2 linked regions of the Arabidopsis thaliana genome follow. The protein of the gene in region 1 interacts with the protein of each later gene in a pairwise test. Each region holds a gene or a part of one and is shown in the gene's direction. Other genes may lie near its edges.

Region 1 (7,401 bases):
TTTGAAAAGATCATCGAATCATTTCAATTATATGAAGCTTCATTATATAAAACAAGCTAAAATTAACATTGATTAATAACAAACCAAAACGCAAACAACTTTTTATTAAAGCTTAATGACAATAATGACCAAAGGAACAATACTTCCCGCCACCGCCATGACCACCATAACCACCTTCATCGTCTTCTTCATAATCATCATCATCATCATTGTTTCTACTATGAACCCACCACAACAGATTACTTAAAGAGTTCCCATCATCAAACCCATTTAATCCTTTAATCTTCTCCATTGCTCCATCTTTGTCGTACATACTTTCCAAAGCATACACAAATCCTTTCCACCCTTCTCCGACGCTGTCTCTAGCCAAAGCAGGCATTGTCCAATTCACGAGCTGTTTCACGAATGTCACGTCCGAGAACAGAACTTCTGATACCGGAAGTAACGGTAATAACTGTATCCCAAGGCGACATTCTTTCCACTCTTTAGGCGCGAACCATAAGCCACTGTCTCTCTTTGTTGACCATAACACTCCAACCACACGATTCTCCGATGTGAAATCTTGCGGGTAAATAGCGTCGTCTTCTTTCACCTGCCACCACATTTTCGCCGCGTGAATCTCCAGCGTCAGAACCATCGAAGCAGCCGCCACCAAATGTGTATCCCCATAAGCTAGCCCCAACAAAGCAGCGGAGTAATACGCATTGACAGCCTCGCTTGTACTCTCTTGATTCCTCCCGTCAGCGAACTCCGTTAACCCTCCAGCCCAAGAATGAAGCTTGAAAAGATCAAAGCATCTCAAACGCGGGTAATTCGAATTCGACTTGGCTCCTTTCTTCCCCAACGTCAAGTAATCCGCCATTAAAGTATACGCTTGAGGTCTGTATCTCTTCCCCCATAAAGGATCAATCTTTGCAAGCACAGCAATCGCATAAACAAAGTAACCTAAATGATAATGATGATCATTGTAAATCCCAAACCCAAAATCTGCTCCTGAATCTCTAGATCCTAGCTTAGTAATCACACCTCCCCATTTTGGATCATACAAGAAACCATTTGGTCCGAAACTTCCATTAAGCCACGGCTCGATCATGTTCTTCAAGTAAGTTCTAATCTTTGGAATAACATCCAGATAACAAACTTCTTCAGCTATTAAAGCTAACCTCGCCGCCCTCGCGATCAATTTCGCGTAGAAATACGAAGAGTTGGTGACCTCAGCTGATGAATCTAAAGCGTTAACGTCTTTGATTAGAGCAGAGATGATCTCTTGGTGAGAATCTTCTTGAACTCCTTTGATAGAGTGCCACGTAACAGAAACAGGGTCTGGTTTTAAAACCCATGAATCTCCGATGACACCTACTAAATCACCGTCGATGCTGTTGTATTTGAAATTGTCTAGAACTGTGATAGAACAATCGTTGGTTGATAAAAGCTTGAGATGAAGAGGATGAGCTAGCATTAGAAGATCTCCATAGCCTCGTTTCTCCCATTTATACTCTAAAGCAAACGGCTTTGTGAAATCAGCGTCACCGGAAACTGGGTAAGAGCAACTGAATCCGTCGAGGATTGTTTCGAAATACGGATTTGGATTTGGTAACACGACGATCCGGATAATACCCGAAAACCCATCACCGCAATTGATTGAAGAAACGCCGTCTTTGGTTAGATTGATCGGAGAAGAGGCGTAGATTAGCCATGTTTGGTTGTTGTTGAGTTTGACGGTGTACTTTGTTGAAGAGGTGTTACCGGAAAGTGATAAAACAGCGTGGATCGTTGAGATTGTGATGGAGGAGTTAACGGAGAAGGTGATGAAAGGGCTTCCTCTAACGAGGAAGAATCTGAGATTAGAGGAGGGGAAATCGAGAGTGACGCCGAGATCGCTGAAGGAAGAGATGAGATGAGATTTACGAGAATGCGGGTCGGGTCCATCTGACCCGGTTATGGTTATGTCGGCGTTGAAAGCTTCGTAGATGAAAGCAGAGTTGTGGGAGAGAGATGGGTAGGAGATGGAGAGAGATGAAGTCGAGGGTTTGATGATGTAAGGATGAAAGTACTCAGCTTGGTCGCCATTGTTGAGAGTGAAGTTTTGGAAGAAAGAGTTTGTAGGGAGAGGAGATGAGAGGAGATCGTGGCTGAAGAAACGAGACGGGTCGGGTAGAACAGAGGAATCGGATCTTGGGAAGAGAAACGGAGTGTTTTTTTGTCTTGAGGAAGACATTTGTTGAGACGGTGGTGGAGATGGTGAAGGAGGAAGAGGAAGAGGTGGTGGTGGTGATGGAGGTCTGTTCTTGGGCTTTTTAAAGGGTTTGGTGATTAAGACTTTGACTTTTCGCCTCACTTTTTTCAACATTTTGCTTAGTCAAGAGGAGAAGAGATAACGACGGATTTGGAAATTGGGTTCACAAAAAGCAAAATTGTGGGGTTTGTTTGGTTAGAAAGAAAAATGATAGGGAAATTTTGTAAATATATAATAAAAGATGGTTTACAAGTTAAGGTTTTGGGAACGTGCAGGAGACTTGCTAGATGCTAAAACGTAGACAAGATATTGGTATATGCCCAAATTAAAAATGTAAATTAACGGTACGAATATGGTTGGATAACAATAATTCTCTAAGGTTATTTGTATTCTTGCAACAAAATATTTGGTTAAACAACTTAGTTCGTAATTCGTATGTGACTTTGTGTGATTGAGTATTACATGTTTGGTTTGGATTGGTTATTTGAAAAAATTCCAAATTTGTTGGATAGGTTTGGAAAATGCTTGAGGTCTTTGTGACTTGATGTTGTTTTGCTTAGAGAAGGAGGAAGAGGGTTGATTGCAAGCAATGTAAATTGCAAACACGCGGTAATGCATATTACATTTCTTAAGGCTCATATTAAATAGGCATAGGACAGGATATTTTTTTTATTTCTTTTACCATTTTAAGTCATTTTATAATGCTGCTTTCAATGCATATATGACAACTTTATGTTTTGCTTAGTATAAGAATTAATTTGTAAAATTTTGATTTGGTCGAGATTTGAGCATAGTCCCATAAACTATTTTTGTTTAATAGACAAGGCCTTATCTTAAGGCCCATATATAAGACGGATACTAGAAAGTAAAAGCCATTTTGAGTGTTAACCGGACCAACAAGAGAATTCAACTAACATAACCGAATCGTGCCGGTTCAACCACCAACCGCTTCGGTTTAGCTCTGCCATCGTCCCGCGAGTCACATCAAAGAGACGGAGACGGAGAAGGAGAAGAAGAAGAGATATGGCCGGACTTCTAGCTTGGGCTGCCGATGTCGTCGGTAAAAATGGAAAAGAAGGAGACGATGAGAAGGATCGGATCCCATTGGTTTTCACGGAGGAGCAGCAGAAATACGTCGATGAGCTTGGCCGAAAAGCGACAAACCTCAGCCGTTCGATCCAAGATCTGCGGCTCAGATTGCCTCCACCGGATATCTCCCAGCGTCTACCTGACCTTCATGCTCACTCCCTTGCGTCCAATGCCGCTCTCACTCTTCAGCTTGATTCGCACTCCGCTACTCGTGAACAGGTTTGAGTTATTGAAATACTATAGCTGATTTGGGAATTGTGTTTTTGCGTTATAGGATTAGTCTTCAATGGATATGGCTTTGGCTGATGTTGAAGTGATCCTAATGGTTCTTCTTTTGGTATTGCAACTAGGCACACATGAGAGAGCAGACACTGCTGGAAGAAAATAGTGCATATGAGAATGCAATATCAACCTGTGAGACAAAAATAGAAGAGAAGAGGAATGAAGCAGATTCTCTTCTTAGAAAGTTGAAGGTGAGTTATCAGATAATTGTTCTTTTCTTGTCTGTGATCTTGTTCAGATATGTATGTTGGTCCTGTTACCATTTGGGTTCTGCCTGATATTAGATGGTTTGCAGGAGCTAGAAGCTGTAGAGGAAAACTTGAAAACTGAGCAGGATAATGCACAAGCTTCTCTAGATGCAAGGCAGTCCAAAAGCTCTAGTGAAACTGTTATTCAGCCTGATGGGAATGGAAAAGATGGAGCAGATACAGAGGCCATGAAGTCCTTTATGCTAGAGAAGTTGGAGAGCAAAAAGAACGATATGGTTAGTTTTCATTTTACGTTTCATGGGTATGGATTGGAATAGTCGATTTGGCTGTATATCTGATGGCAGTGTAAGTTATATTTTCCATTTAGAGTTTAATGGAAGAAAAAGTTCAGGATTTAGAGAGGAGTTGGGCTGTTATACAGGAAAGAGCACTGAAGCAGCCTTCTCCAGGTACTTTTTTTTGTCATCAATTCTGATTAGTTAGTAAATTACTATTTTATCACCATTCAGAACCATCACGTCTTCAATATATATGAAACAAAAAAAAAATTGTTTTACATAGCTTATTTTCAGTAAGAATTCAATAGAGATCTGTTTTTTGGTTCCGTTAGATAGGTTGATAGCGTGAAAAATTTCATTCACATTATCTGACTGGAAAGGTTTTTCTTTCACAGCTCAGAGAGAGAAGACACTGGATAAACAACTTCATAGCCTAATCGAGCAATTAGCTGCAAAGCAGGTCCATCACAACCCAAATTAATCTACACTTTTCCCTTTAGACTGTTTCTTAACAGAAACTTTGATATGCTTATCAGGCACAAGCAGAGGGGATTGTTGGTGAGATTCATCTAAATGAGATGGAGTTAGAGAGACTAAACAATTTATGGAGAAGATATGAAAGCTTTAACGTTGAAGGGAACGCTGCGAGGAACAGATTCAAGAGAACAAATTCAGATAGAGAATTTACATCAGACCACGAAGTTGATGGTCATTCCTACCTTCCATATTCATCTGCTACAAGAAATGGGACCCAAACAAGGCTTATGTATCTCAGGTCAGCTTTTGTCGTCTACATTTTGGCTTTGCAAGTCCTGGTTTTCATCAGAATTTCCTTTTGAGAAGTTGTGTACACGAGTAGTCTGTTCTGCTTTTAGTTTGCGCAAGGGAGTCAAAATACTGCATATAAAAATTTATAGGAATACAATAATTGTTGTCAAATGGTTTTCTGTCCTTCCATATGGATATATGGCAATTGAATACTGAGACTCCTACATGAATCTTTCTTTACAATTTTTCTTGATATTAGATATATGTCTCCACTACTCATTCTTGAGGGATGCTTTCTAGTTATCTGTCTTCATCATTTGTAGCAATATATCATTCAGAGTATCGATAGGTCCAGGCAGGCACCAATGAATACAGTCATTTCTTAAAGTCACATTTGGATTCTGTAGATGTCCATATCTCCCAGGATGCCCATCTGGTCGCAATAGCATTGCCTGTGTCGTGTCCATTAACTTCAGTCTCAAACCACTCTTCTTCATCCCATCTTCTTCTGCAGCTCTAAATTCCTCCCTTTGAATGTCGTGAACCTTGAGATCTGCCTCGGGTATAGTCTCGTTTCTTCTGTAAGGTTGTGTCCGTACACAGTCCCCTCCTTCGTTCCAAGCCCCACCTTCGAAATGTTGAGGAGAAAAACTCCTTAAAAATGCCAGACCCTTGAAATTCTCGATTATAGCTTTTAGAGATATTCTTAAAGCCTTCCTGTATCCATAGGTCAAAGGCAATTCAGTCGTGTTTGGTAACGCACAGTATTGGCACCCAGAGATTTGTTGGTTTTCATAGAAAATAACCGGCCGGGAAAACCAGTGGCCGGATGATATAACCAGGTAGTCGAGTTGGTCGAGCTGACTCGTCCACTTCGTGTCATATTCGTCGAGGTATAGGCTGAAGAAGTTGGACTTCGGATCAGGTTTAGTAGCCTTCACTAGAAATGGTGACCACATGACATGAAGAGTGAAGTTATAGGATGTGTAGTTCCATACTTTGAAATCCGTATCTGGTGAAGGAGAAATGTCTTCAGGGTATTCCACCTACAAGGAAATAAAAAAAGTCAACACATTAGAGAGATGGTGGTTCGCTGGTGATCATTGACAATTAGTTTGGATTTTTACCCTAGAGAGAAGGCACAAGAGAGATTGGACTTGGTTTCTGCTAATGGAGTCACCAACAAACCCCATGGCTTTCCCTCTAACCATTTCCAAGAACTCTTGAGGATCAAAGATGGGAAGGTCGCAACTCTCCGGCTTCCACCTCCATCTCATGAATCCGGTATCAGGTCTCCCATATTTCATGCAGTTCTGGTGCTCATGTATTGCCCAGCATGTCGTGTTGGTGTAGTATGGAGCTTCTTCGTTTGGTACCCACTCCCCGGTAAAAAGGTCACACATTTGCTCATCATCTCTGATCCGCGTCCTTGATGGTGATGTGGTGACTGGGGATGAATGATCATCAGATGAAGAATTCAGATGTCTTAAGGACGTGTGATTGAGTGGAGCGGGAATGGGACCGTTCACAGGTGAAGGACTCTGATCAGCTGAAGAATTCCGATGTGGTGGAGCGGGAACGGGACTATTCATGGGTGAAGGAATCTGATCGAATGAAGAACTCCGTTGTCTTAAAGGTATATGATCGGTTGGAGAGGAAATGGGACCTTTCTTGGGTTTAGGAATCCGATGGAAAGAAGACTTCCGATGTTTTGAAGGCGTATGGTAGGGTGGCGTGGGAATGGAACCATTCACGGGTGAAGGAATCTGATTTGATGAAGAATTCAAATGACTGAGACGTGTATGATCAGTCTCGAAAGATGAGATTGATGGAGGTAAGATTGGATCGGCAAGGAGAGTATATAAAGCAGGAACTATTGTGAGGACAAATAGAACAAATGCTAATGTAATTGCAACTCTTGGTGTTCTTTGAAGGATTGCAAACAAAGGAAGCTCCATTGTCTGCTTCAAGACAATGGTGTCTGGTCTTGTCATAAATATGTATGTATATATGGTGAATAATGGTGAGCTCGTGGTCATCCAATAACTAGGCACAACATTTGACCATTTCCTGAAATATAATAAATAAACCTGAGGGAGACAGAAAGTCAAAAAACTTGATTTAGCTTGGTCATTAGGACAACATTTTTCGAACTTGCGCCAAGAATCCTTTGTCTTCTTCTCTCTTTAGCATAGCCAGCAAGAAGTCATTGAGGTTGTCGATAGGACCGGGCAAGCACCAGTGGACACAGTCGTTGTACAACGTGACATTGGCCTCTGGAATATGGCCGTAGCGGCTTGGGTGACCGTCGGGTCTAAGCCACATAGCTTGGGTCGTATCTAGTAATCGTAACCTTTTCCCTTTCTTCTTCGCTTCTTCTTCAGCTCTCCAAAATTCTTCCAACTGAATCTTGTGTAGCTTCATTGTCGTTTCGTCTTGAGTCTCATTGCTCCTATAAGGTTGTTTCCTCAAACAATCTCCTCCTTCATTCCACAACCCGCCTTCAAAATGTGACGGTGCAAAACTTCGTAAGTACATT
Region 2 (9,179 bases), on another chromosome or scaffold:
ATGACAACTACAGAACTTAGTTTTTACCTGTGAATCGTCTGTAACTCCATCTCCAACCGCTCCGAATTGAGTAACATCCAATGCATTCGAAGATGTGAAGATTTGAAGAAAGAACAGTGAGAAATTCAAGAACCAAGTCTTCTTCTTCATATATTTTGAAGAAAAAGCGTTAAAATCATGAATGAATATGTTTACGACTAAAGAAAAAATGTTGTTGAAGCGAAGGCTTTACTACACTAGCTACTATATTATACTACTTACATAAGATACATATGTACATAGAAAAGAAGATGCTAAAGGACTTTACCATGTTCAGCGGATATTTGTGGGACAGGGGAAGACAATGTGAAGAAAATGGATACACGAATATACAATTTCTTAACAAAATAATGATGTAGTAACTATCAAATCTCATATTTATTACCAGTGCCCATGAGGCGTCAGAGTGGGCACTGTATTAATTAAAAATAAAAAAAGGTTCTCCTAAAAGTACGTAGCATTGTATTATCTGTTACAATATTAAATAAATGTGTCTTCATGTTTTTTGGTTCCATTTTTTAAAGATGTTTTTTGGTTCCATTTCCCTTAACTTCGTTTGATTTTCAAGGAAATGTCAAATATCTGCAATTATATAACATAGGTAAAAAAAGAGAGGTTATAATCAGCTGTACATTAAACACATAGTGTATATGCCGCGATTTATATGATAGTCTCCGTCCACTCAACAAAAACTTAAATCTACAAAATAATCTGAATTGATATTTTGAATGCATATTAAAAAGGTGTTATTTGAGATATCATTTTTGAATCCTACTTGAGAGAAGTGGTCCACGGATTTGATTACATGATACTCGAGTGTGACATGTTCAATCCTAGCAAAAAGATATCATGCTAAATTTGTCTTCTTTTGACAAAAGTTTATTGGTTTTCAGTCCTAGAAACTTGTAAATTATGTAAGCGAGTGACAAAGTTTATTGGTTTTCAGACCTAGAGAGCAGTGAATGACAAAGTTTATTGGTTTGCAGACCTAGAACTTGTGAACGGGCAGCGAATAAAGTAGCTCATATCATTACGCTTTCCCGATTCTAGTTCCTTGGTTTTATATGACGACGGTTATCTGTTGTGATTGATAAACCGGATCGTATAACTAATTAGTAATTCCTTTCAAACTTTTAGTTTGAAGAAGATGTTGAGCCAAAAAACATTTATATAATCTATCCGAAGAAACTTGTGTTTGCTTCTTAGGCCATCTTCAACGGTAAAATTAGGTGGATTATCTTAAAATATTGTTTTTTAATTATTATCATATAATATTATTATTTACTTAAATAATTATTCTGAAAATAATAATTTAACCTATTAAAATGTAACCTATTATTTACTTTTCTCTCTCTCCTACTTTATTATTATTTTATATTTTTTAGTTAGTGAAAAACCATACTAGAGACTACTGATGGAGATGTTCTTATCTTTTCTGTCTATTTTTGACTTTCATGATTCGCTTTTAGTTTCTTTTCTTCGGCTTCGCTTTTGGGTTTTCTATTTTAGCTTTTTTCTTTTTGCTTATAAGAAAAAAAAAAAAACTAATTATGTACTTATTGTAGTTTAATTATAGTAATATTCTTTTGATTTTTTTTCTTTTTTTTCCTACTAAACAGTTAAAGATTCACGTACTACTTATCAAATTCAGTTCAGACAGTCGGACAATATCAATAGGTGCACCTAAATTTCATTCCAAGTTTTACCCTACCACAAAAAAAAAAAATCATTCCAAGATACAGGCCTAAATACGTGTACAGAATGTTAAATCACCAGGCCCAATTATGGCCCATATTCAAATATCAATAGCACCTAAATTTCTAGTTTCTACGTCCCTTCTTCATTTTTTCCTTGGGTCAACTAAAATTCAAAAGTCCTATTTTCTAAAATAAGCTAATATAGAAGCAAAACAAAGGAATTGGGTTATTTTAAGTCCAGATTTTTCAGACAAGTCACCGGTGAGCGGTGGCTGCGTATCAGAAACCTTGCCGTGAGCATTGCTAAATAATAAACATAGATAGGGGAATAAGCTCCAAAATAAGCTCCCTTGTATCCTACCATTGTGTTACAATTTAGCATTACGCCGAGTTGCCAATACTGTCTTAATTTTCCCTTTGATCCCCATATATGAGACACCTCTGATCTGTTCTTCACCGCATTTTTATGATTGACGGTTTTGCTGATGGTTAGTACATTAGAACTTATTAGATACCAGAGAATGCAAATACATTGTATAATCCCCATGTGGCCACGTTCCGTTTATGAGGAGTAATATTTTATACAACTATCACATTCTTCTTTACCCAAAAAAAACGAAAAAAAAAACTACCCAATCTTATAGCGAAGATGTGTGAGATCCAATGATGAAGCAATTAAATTATTGCTAGTGAATTCATGTCATTATGCGAACACGTACTACTTGAGAAAAGTACACCATATAGTTTTCTTGTGATGGACGGTGAGGATTCAGCTTGGGAAACGATGTCGTAACGTTTGGATGCAGAACGTCGGGCGCACGATTTGGATATCTCTTTTTTTTTTTTGTCTCCCCTATCCTCAAGTCAGGGATTTTATTACAACTTTGAATATTTATTTCCTTTTTTTATGTCGGCCTTCTTAAAACTTTTCAAGATTTTCAATTAGTCACTAAACTTTCCATTTTATCTTTTTCACTCTATTATATAATTTTAGATGTAACGTAAAATATTACTATTAGGATGTGAGATAACATAATCCAACCACAATTATATCGTTATCTAGTAACATTAACTATATATTATAAGTTATAAATTGAAAGGAATCTCTTGAGAGTAACTATTTAGGGCCTAATTGTGAAACTAAAAACGTGTAGGGCTGAAACTAATAACAATTCGTACGTTGGGTCACTATTAAATCATCAAAGATCTGTAGAAAATAATGAAAAAGTGGCCCCACACGCTCCAATTAAATTACAGCAGCTCCACAAAGTAGCTCTTAAAGAGCTTCCATCACGGACCAGATCCCGAATTCTTCTTCTGACCACCGAACGATTGAGTTTCTCCGATCAGATCTCAGTTTCTGGGAATAATTCGAAGTTAGTATTTCTCTACTTCATCTCTATGAATCTCATTCATTTTATCTTTATGTTTCTCTTTACTTGTTTTGCGATTAAAACTCGTTTGATCATTTAGGTGGTTCTTTGTTTTGTGAGATAAGTGGAACTCGCTGACTTTTTTTTTTTTCTTTTTGGATAATCAACGATCGGGTTCATTTGCTATTGTCCTCTAGTGTTACACTGATACGATCTTTAGTTTTGAGTTAGATCAGTGACTTTAGTTTCACTATTCAACTAGTGTTCCTTGTTTTTAGGACAATACTGCGAAAATTTAGCTGCTCTAAAATTTTGATACCAGATCTTTGAGATTCGTAGATCTCGCTTTTCTTTTTTTTTAGTTTTTTCAGAAACTAATATTGTGTTCTGGTCAATTCTTATTGCTAAAGGTGAAAAAATGGCGCAGCATCTGTTGCACGGGACTTTACATGCTACCATCTATGAAGTTGATGCCCTCCATGGTGGTGGTGTTAGGCAAGGCTTCCTTGGCAAGGTATAATAAGATCCATTGTTATTGCATCATTTTTGCGCCAATCCTGACGTCTTATTTTGTAGTTCAAATTAGTCTGTGGACTAATACACAGTTTGATCTTTATTTTTCTGATGAAACTTTCAGATTCTGGCAAATGTAGAAGAGACGATTGGTGTTGGTAAAGGAGAAACACAGTTGTATGCGACGATTGATCTGCAAAAAGCTAGAGTTGGGAGAACCAGGAAGATCAAAAATGAACCTAAGAACCCAAAGTGGTATGAGTCGTTTCATATTTACTGTGCTCACTTGGCTTCTGATATCATCTTCACTGTTAAAGATGATAATCCCATTGGAGCTACCCTTATCGGAAGAGCTTACATTCCTGTTGATCAAGTCATTAACGGCGAGGAAGTGGATCAGTGGGTTGAGATCTTGGATAATGACAGAAACCCTATTCAGGGAGGATCAAAGATTCATGTCAAGCTTCAATATTTCCATGTTGAGGAGGATCGTAACTGGAACATGGGTATCAAAAGTGCCAAGTTCCCTGGAGTGCCATACACATTCTTCTCGCAGAGACAAGGCTGCAAAGTTTCTCTGTACCAAGATGCTCATATTCCAGACAACTTTGTCCCTAGAATTCCTCTCGCTGGAGGGAAGAACTATGAGCCTCAAAGATGTTGGGAGGATATTTTTGATGCTATTAGCAATGCAAAACACTTGATCTACATTACTGGTTGGTCTGTTTACGCTGAGATTGCTTTAGTGAGGGACTCGAGGAGGCCTAAGCCTGGAGGTGATGTGACCATTGGTGAGCTACTCAAGAAGAAGGCTAGTGAAGGTGTCAGGGTTCTTTTGCTTGTTTGGGATGACAGAACTTCTGTTGATGTGCTGAAGAAAGATGGGCTCATGGCTACTCATGATGAAGAGACCGAGAATTTCTTCAGGGGAAGTGATGTCCATTGTATTCTGTGCCCTCGTAACCCGGATGACGGTGGTAGCATAGTCCAAAGTTTGCAGATCTCTACTATGTTCACGCATCATCAGAAAATCGTTGTTGTGGACAGCGAGATGCCAAGCAGAGGAGGATCAGAAATGAGGAGAATTGTGAGTTTTGTTGGCGGTATTGATCTTTGTGATGGAAGATACGACACTCCGTTCCACTCCTTGTTCAGGACATTGGACACAGTCCACCATGATGACTTCCATCAACCTAACTTCACTGGTGCTGCTATCACTAAAGGTGGTCCAAGGGAGCCTTGGCATGACATTCACTCCCGTCTTGAAGGTCCAATTGCTTGGGATGTCATGTACAACTTCGAGCAGAGATGGAGCAAGCAGGGTGGTAAAGACATTCTGGTTAAGTTGAGAGATCTTAGTGATATTATTATCACCCCTTCTCCTGTTATGTTCCAAGAGGACCACGATGTGTGGAATGTCCAATTGTTTAGGTCCATTGATGGAGGAGCTGCTGCTGGGTTTCCCGAGTCGCCTGAAGCTGCTGCGGAAGCCGGGCTTGTAAGTGGGAAAGATAACATCATTGATAGGAGTATCCAAGATGCTTACATTCATGCAATCAGACGTGCTAAGGATTTCATCTACGTTGAAAACCAGTACTTCCTTGGGAGTTCTTTTGCTTGGGCAGCCGATGGTATTACTCCTGAGGACATCAATGCCCTGCACTTAATCCCAAAAGAGTTGTCGCTGAAGATAGTTAGCAAGATTGAGAAAGGAGAGAAGTTCAGGGTCTATGTTGTGGTTCCAATGTGGCCAGAAGGTCTCCCAGAGAGTGGATCAGTGCAAGCTATATTAGACTGGCAGAGGAGGACCATGGAGATGATGTACAAGGATGTGATTCAGGCTCTCAGGGCCCAGGGTCTTGAGGAAGATCCAAGAAACTATCTGACATTCTTCTGTCTTGGAAACCGTGAGGTCAAGAAAGATGGAGAGTATGAGCCTGCTGAGAAACCAGACCCCGACACTGATTACATGAGGGCGCAAGAAGCACGCCGTTTCATGATTTACGTCCACACCAAAATGATGATCGGTAAGTTCACATTTCAACGGAAAAAAACTTGAGAAGTATACATAAATGTTGTGCCTGATTCATTTGATGAAATCCATTTTGCAGTTGACGATGAATACATTATCATTGGGTCTGCTAACATCAACCAGAGGTCAATGGACGGTGCAAGAGACTCTGAGATAGCAATGGGAGGTTATCAACCACATCACTTGTCCCATAGACAACCAGCTCGTGGCCAGATCCATGGGTTTCGTATGTCACTCTGGTACGAACACCTGGGAATGCTCGATGAAACCTTCCTCGATCCATCAAGCTTGGAATGCATTGAGAAAGTTAACCGCATTTCTGACAAGTATTGGGACTTTTACTCAAGTGAGTCACTCGAACATGACCTTCCTGGTCACTTGCTCCGCTACCCGATCGGTGTAGCCAGCGAAGGCGACATCACTGAGCTTCCAGGATTTGAATTCTTCCCGGACACAAAGGCCCGTATCCTCGGCACCAAATCAGACTACCTGCCTCCAATCCTTACAACCTAATCTCACTAAGCATGTCAAGTAATGATCTCTCTCTCCCTCTCTGCTTTGCTGCTGTTGTAGCTTTGAATAAAACTTGAGTGTCTACCTTTAGAATTAAGAAGTCAAATGGTTGTTATGATGATGCACTTCTTTACCCCTTTGGTTTTTATATTCGTACAATGACGTGGTGAGAGAATGTAGCTTTGTGATCTTGTTTTGTTGTTGTTATGTACCTTTGGACTTATGAATCTTATATCTGATCCTTTTCTTTTTATTTAGTGTGTTTCACATCAAAGTTTAAACAAAAATAGCAATGAACTAGGTAAAACATACTTCATTAGAAAAGTGAAAGTGACAATCTAGAGATAAAGCATGAAACTAGGGTTCATATAGCACAAAACTAATACAAAAGGGGTTTTAAAGTTTTAAGCCGGAAACAGGGCACGACACACCGGACAAATCCCACTGTTCCTAAGCCATTCCTCTCCACAAGTACGATGAAACACATGCGAACACGGCATTCGACCCGCTTCCACATCTGACCCAACTCGGATATTATCCATGCATATCACACAATAGCCTTCATTCTCAACAACAAGCGTCTCCAAGTGCATCTCCACCGCCTCATCGTTCGCTGGAGCAACCGCAAGTTGCACTTGCACATCTACGTGATCATCTTCACCGGGAAACCTCGAGACAGTAACACCTATCTTTACTTGTACCCTCTCCACGTCTTTCGCACCATCTTTCTTCAAATCCTTAATCTCATCAGCAAGAGTGTTAACAATAGCAGAATAAGGAGGGACTTGGAGCGAATCTAGAATGTGATAGACGATGGCTAGTGAATGATCACCGTCTCCACCAAACAACCAATCTCGATCAAACTCGTGTGTTTGCTCAAGGGTTAGAGTTTGAAGATTGTCAAAATCGGGAAAATCTTCTTCTTCTTCAACGTCATCATCTTCTTCTTCGGCACGAGTGTAATGCACTTTGAAATCGAAAAACAATTTTTGGCTCTTTCGTAGTTCTCCGTCGTAGTCGTTGTAGATCCGCTTGACATCGATCACGTTGTCTACGTTATCGTTTACATAGAAAGCCATGATTTTGTTGGAAGAAGATGGGTTTGATTATTTGCTGTGGGTTTAGGGTTCTAATATAGAGAGATTAGAGAAAGATGAGGCAATTTTGAGTTAACGGCAAAAACCTGAAAAAAGGAAAGTTTGCTTTTGCTTTTATCTTGCTGAGAGGAAGAGAGATCAGATGATCAAAGAAGGAGATCGCTAAAGTTTCGTAACAAGGCTGAGCCAAACACTCGTGTTATATATCCCACTCCTCAATTTCCGTTTAACTTGGGAAATTTTCCTTTTAATAAAAAATACCGAATATTATTTATAATATGAAAGTAAATAAAGTATTAACCAATAATATTTTTTGAGGATATTTAATAATAACTACTTTCCTTATTTCCCTATTTTACAAAAATACTCAGGTGGATTCCGAATCAAGGTCCCGATATCTCAGATCTTTTTGTAAATATCATTTCGTAGAAGTTGTGGCCATCGACGATCCTCATTGTTCTTCTTTACTCTCGAGATCTTCTTTGCTCAAACCTTTTATCGTGGACGTCTAGAACTGATGGAGCCGCATGAAGGTTCCTTTCTATGATACCAATTATTATTTCATAAGTTTCATAAATCGCCCACCAGATGTTCGATGATATTCCCCACCCAAATATAATTACCTTGAAAACTTTGTTTCTTAATGATTTACAGATGTGAAGGATAATTTGGCCAAAGAGCTTTATGGAGAAAGTGTACAGCTTTCGAAGCATGGTGAGGACTCTTTGCCCTTCATATATTATGCAATTGACAAAGTTTTTACTTTTCTGATGAAAACTCTTACAAATTTGTTCTCATAGTTTAGCTGAGGTCTTGTGTTTAGGCTTAGAGCTTGTATTTCTAAGGTTTTGGATTCCCACATCTCTCTGATAAGAATCATATTCTTGGTTTAGGTAATAATAATCATGTTCTTTAGAATTTAGATGATCCCTTTTACGGAAGTTCAGATGAAGAAGACTATAGTGAAGCTCGCGTGTTGGGCAATGAGAATAAGCAGAGACGTGTGAAATTCCACTCGGTATTCTTTCTTACTTGATCATTCTCTCATCTCTGTGTCTAAAATGCTTTTTTTAATGGTAAATTGAAATCGTAGGCTGGATATCGTGATGGGATTGTTGCCGGGAAAGAAGCTATTGCGCAGGAAGGTTATAACTTTGGCTATAAGGAATCAGTTCTTAATGGTTACCAGTTTGGTCTTGTTAGAGGTGTTTCCAGGTAATTACAAGTCTGTTGCGATGTGTTACATATCCGATGAAGCTTATCGAGTAGTAAGTTATACATTTTCTGTTTTTGACTCTTTTTGAAGTGCGTTGGCTTTCCTCCCGGATGAGCTTAGAGAAAAGCTTATCGATAAACAAGAAACTAGAGAGAAGTTTCAGAAATTACACAGTTCTGTGCATGCTCTTTCGACGGAAGTCGCAATGAAGCGGTTCTATGAAACTTTGACTACGAAGCAAGGGGAAGAGAAGAGTGGAGAAGAAGGGCCCGACTCTTGTTCTGATTCAGGTTCTGGTTCAGGTGTTAATGTCACAACCGACTTAGGAAGCTATGTTACTGAGCTAAGTTCTCTTCTTGACAAATCTCCAACGATTGAAGTTAAATTTGACACATAGAGGAGGTTTGTTCCGTAGACGTTATTGACAAGCAAAAGCAAGATTAGCGTCCAGTTTCCAAAAACTGTTTGTAAGCTCGGTTCTGCCTCAGCGAGTAGCGACGGCTAAATCATGCTTTCTGCCTCGGCAATTTCATTCAACCTTCTCTACCAATTGTAGCCGTACTCGCCAAGCTAAGAAAATTTACTCTGTTAATTTGGGTTGACAAACCAACAAAGTACTCTGTCAGCAAAATTATGGCTAGTTATTTCTTAATGTTATAAAATGGACTAACCAATAAAGATTTTTAATTAAAATAAATT

The links. Proteins that work in one complex are often made in the same cells at the same time.
Region 2: the proteins of AT5G15880 (region 1) and PLDALPHA1 interact in a protein complementation assay, tested with the Arabidopsis thaliana proteins (one large-scale study listed by BioGRID).

What each region holds. Positions count from the first base shown.
Region 1 is NC_003076.8:5,182,529-5,189,929, forward strand, and holds AT5G15880 (golgin family A protein), read left to right. Parts: upstream 1-3,122; 5' UTR 3,123-3,259; coding exon 3,260-3,544; intron 3,545-3,675; coding exon 3,676-3,798; intron 3,799-3,902; coding exon 3,903-4,091; intron 4,092-4,183; coding exon 4,184-4,265; intron 4,266-4,489; coding exon 4,490-4,554; intron 4,555-4,630; coding exon 4,631-4,933; 3' UTR 4,934-5,158; downstream 5,159-7,401. Other genes in the region: AT5G15870 (glycosyl hydrolase family 81 protein), read right to left, coding at 113-2,350; TBL21 (TRICHOME BIREFRINGENCE-LIKE 21), read right to left, coding at 5,159-5,908, 5,990-6,820; TBL19 (TRICHOME BIREFRINGENCE-LIKE 19), read right to left, coding at 6,996-7,401.
Region 2 is NC_003074.8:5,327,308-5,336,486, forward strand, and holds PLDALPHA1 (phospholipase D alpha 1), read left to right. Parts: upstream 1-2,886; 5' UTR 2,887-3,112; intron 3,113-3,519; 5' UTR 3,520-3,527; coding exon 3,528-3,623; intron 3,624-3,746; coding exon 3,747-5,649; intron 5,650-5,733; coding exon 5,734-6,167; 3' UTR 6,168-6,438; downstream 6,439-9,179. Other genes in the region: AT3G15720 (Pectin lyase-like superfamily protein), read right to left, coding at 28-150; AT3G15740 (RING/U-box superfamily protein), read right to left, coding at 6,572-7,246; AT3G15750 (Essential protein Yae1, N-terminal), read left to right, coding at 7,782-7,797, 7,919-7,978, 8,188-8,282, 8,358-8,479, 8,571-8,877. UniProt on the Arabidopsis thaliana protein: Hydrolyzes glycerol-phospholipids at the terminal phosphodiesteric bond to generate phosphatidic acids (PA).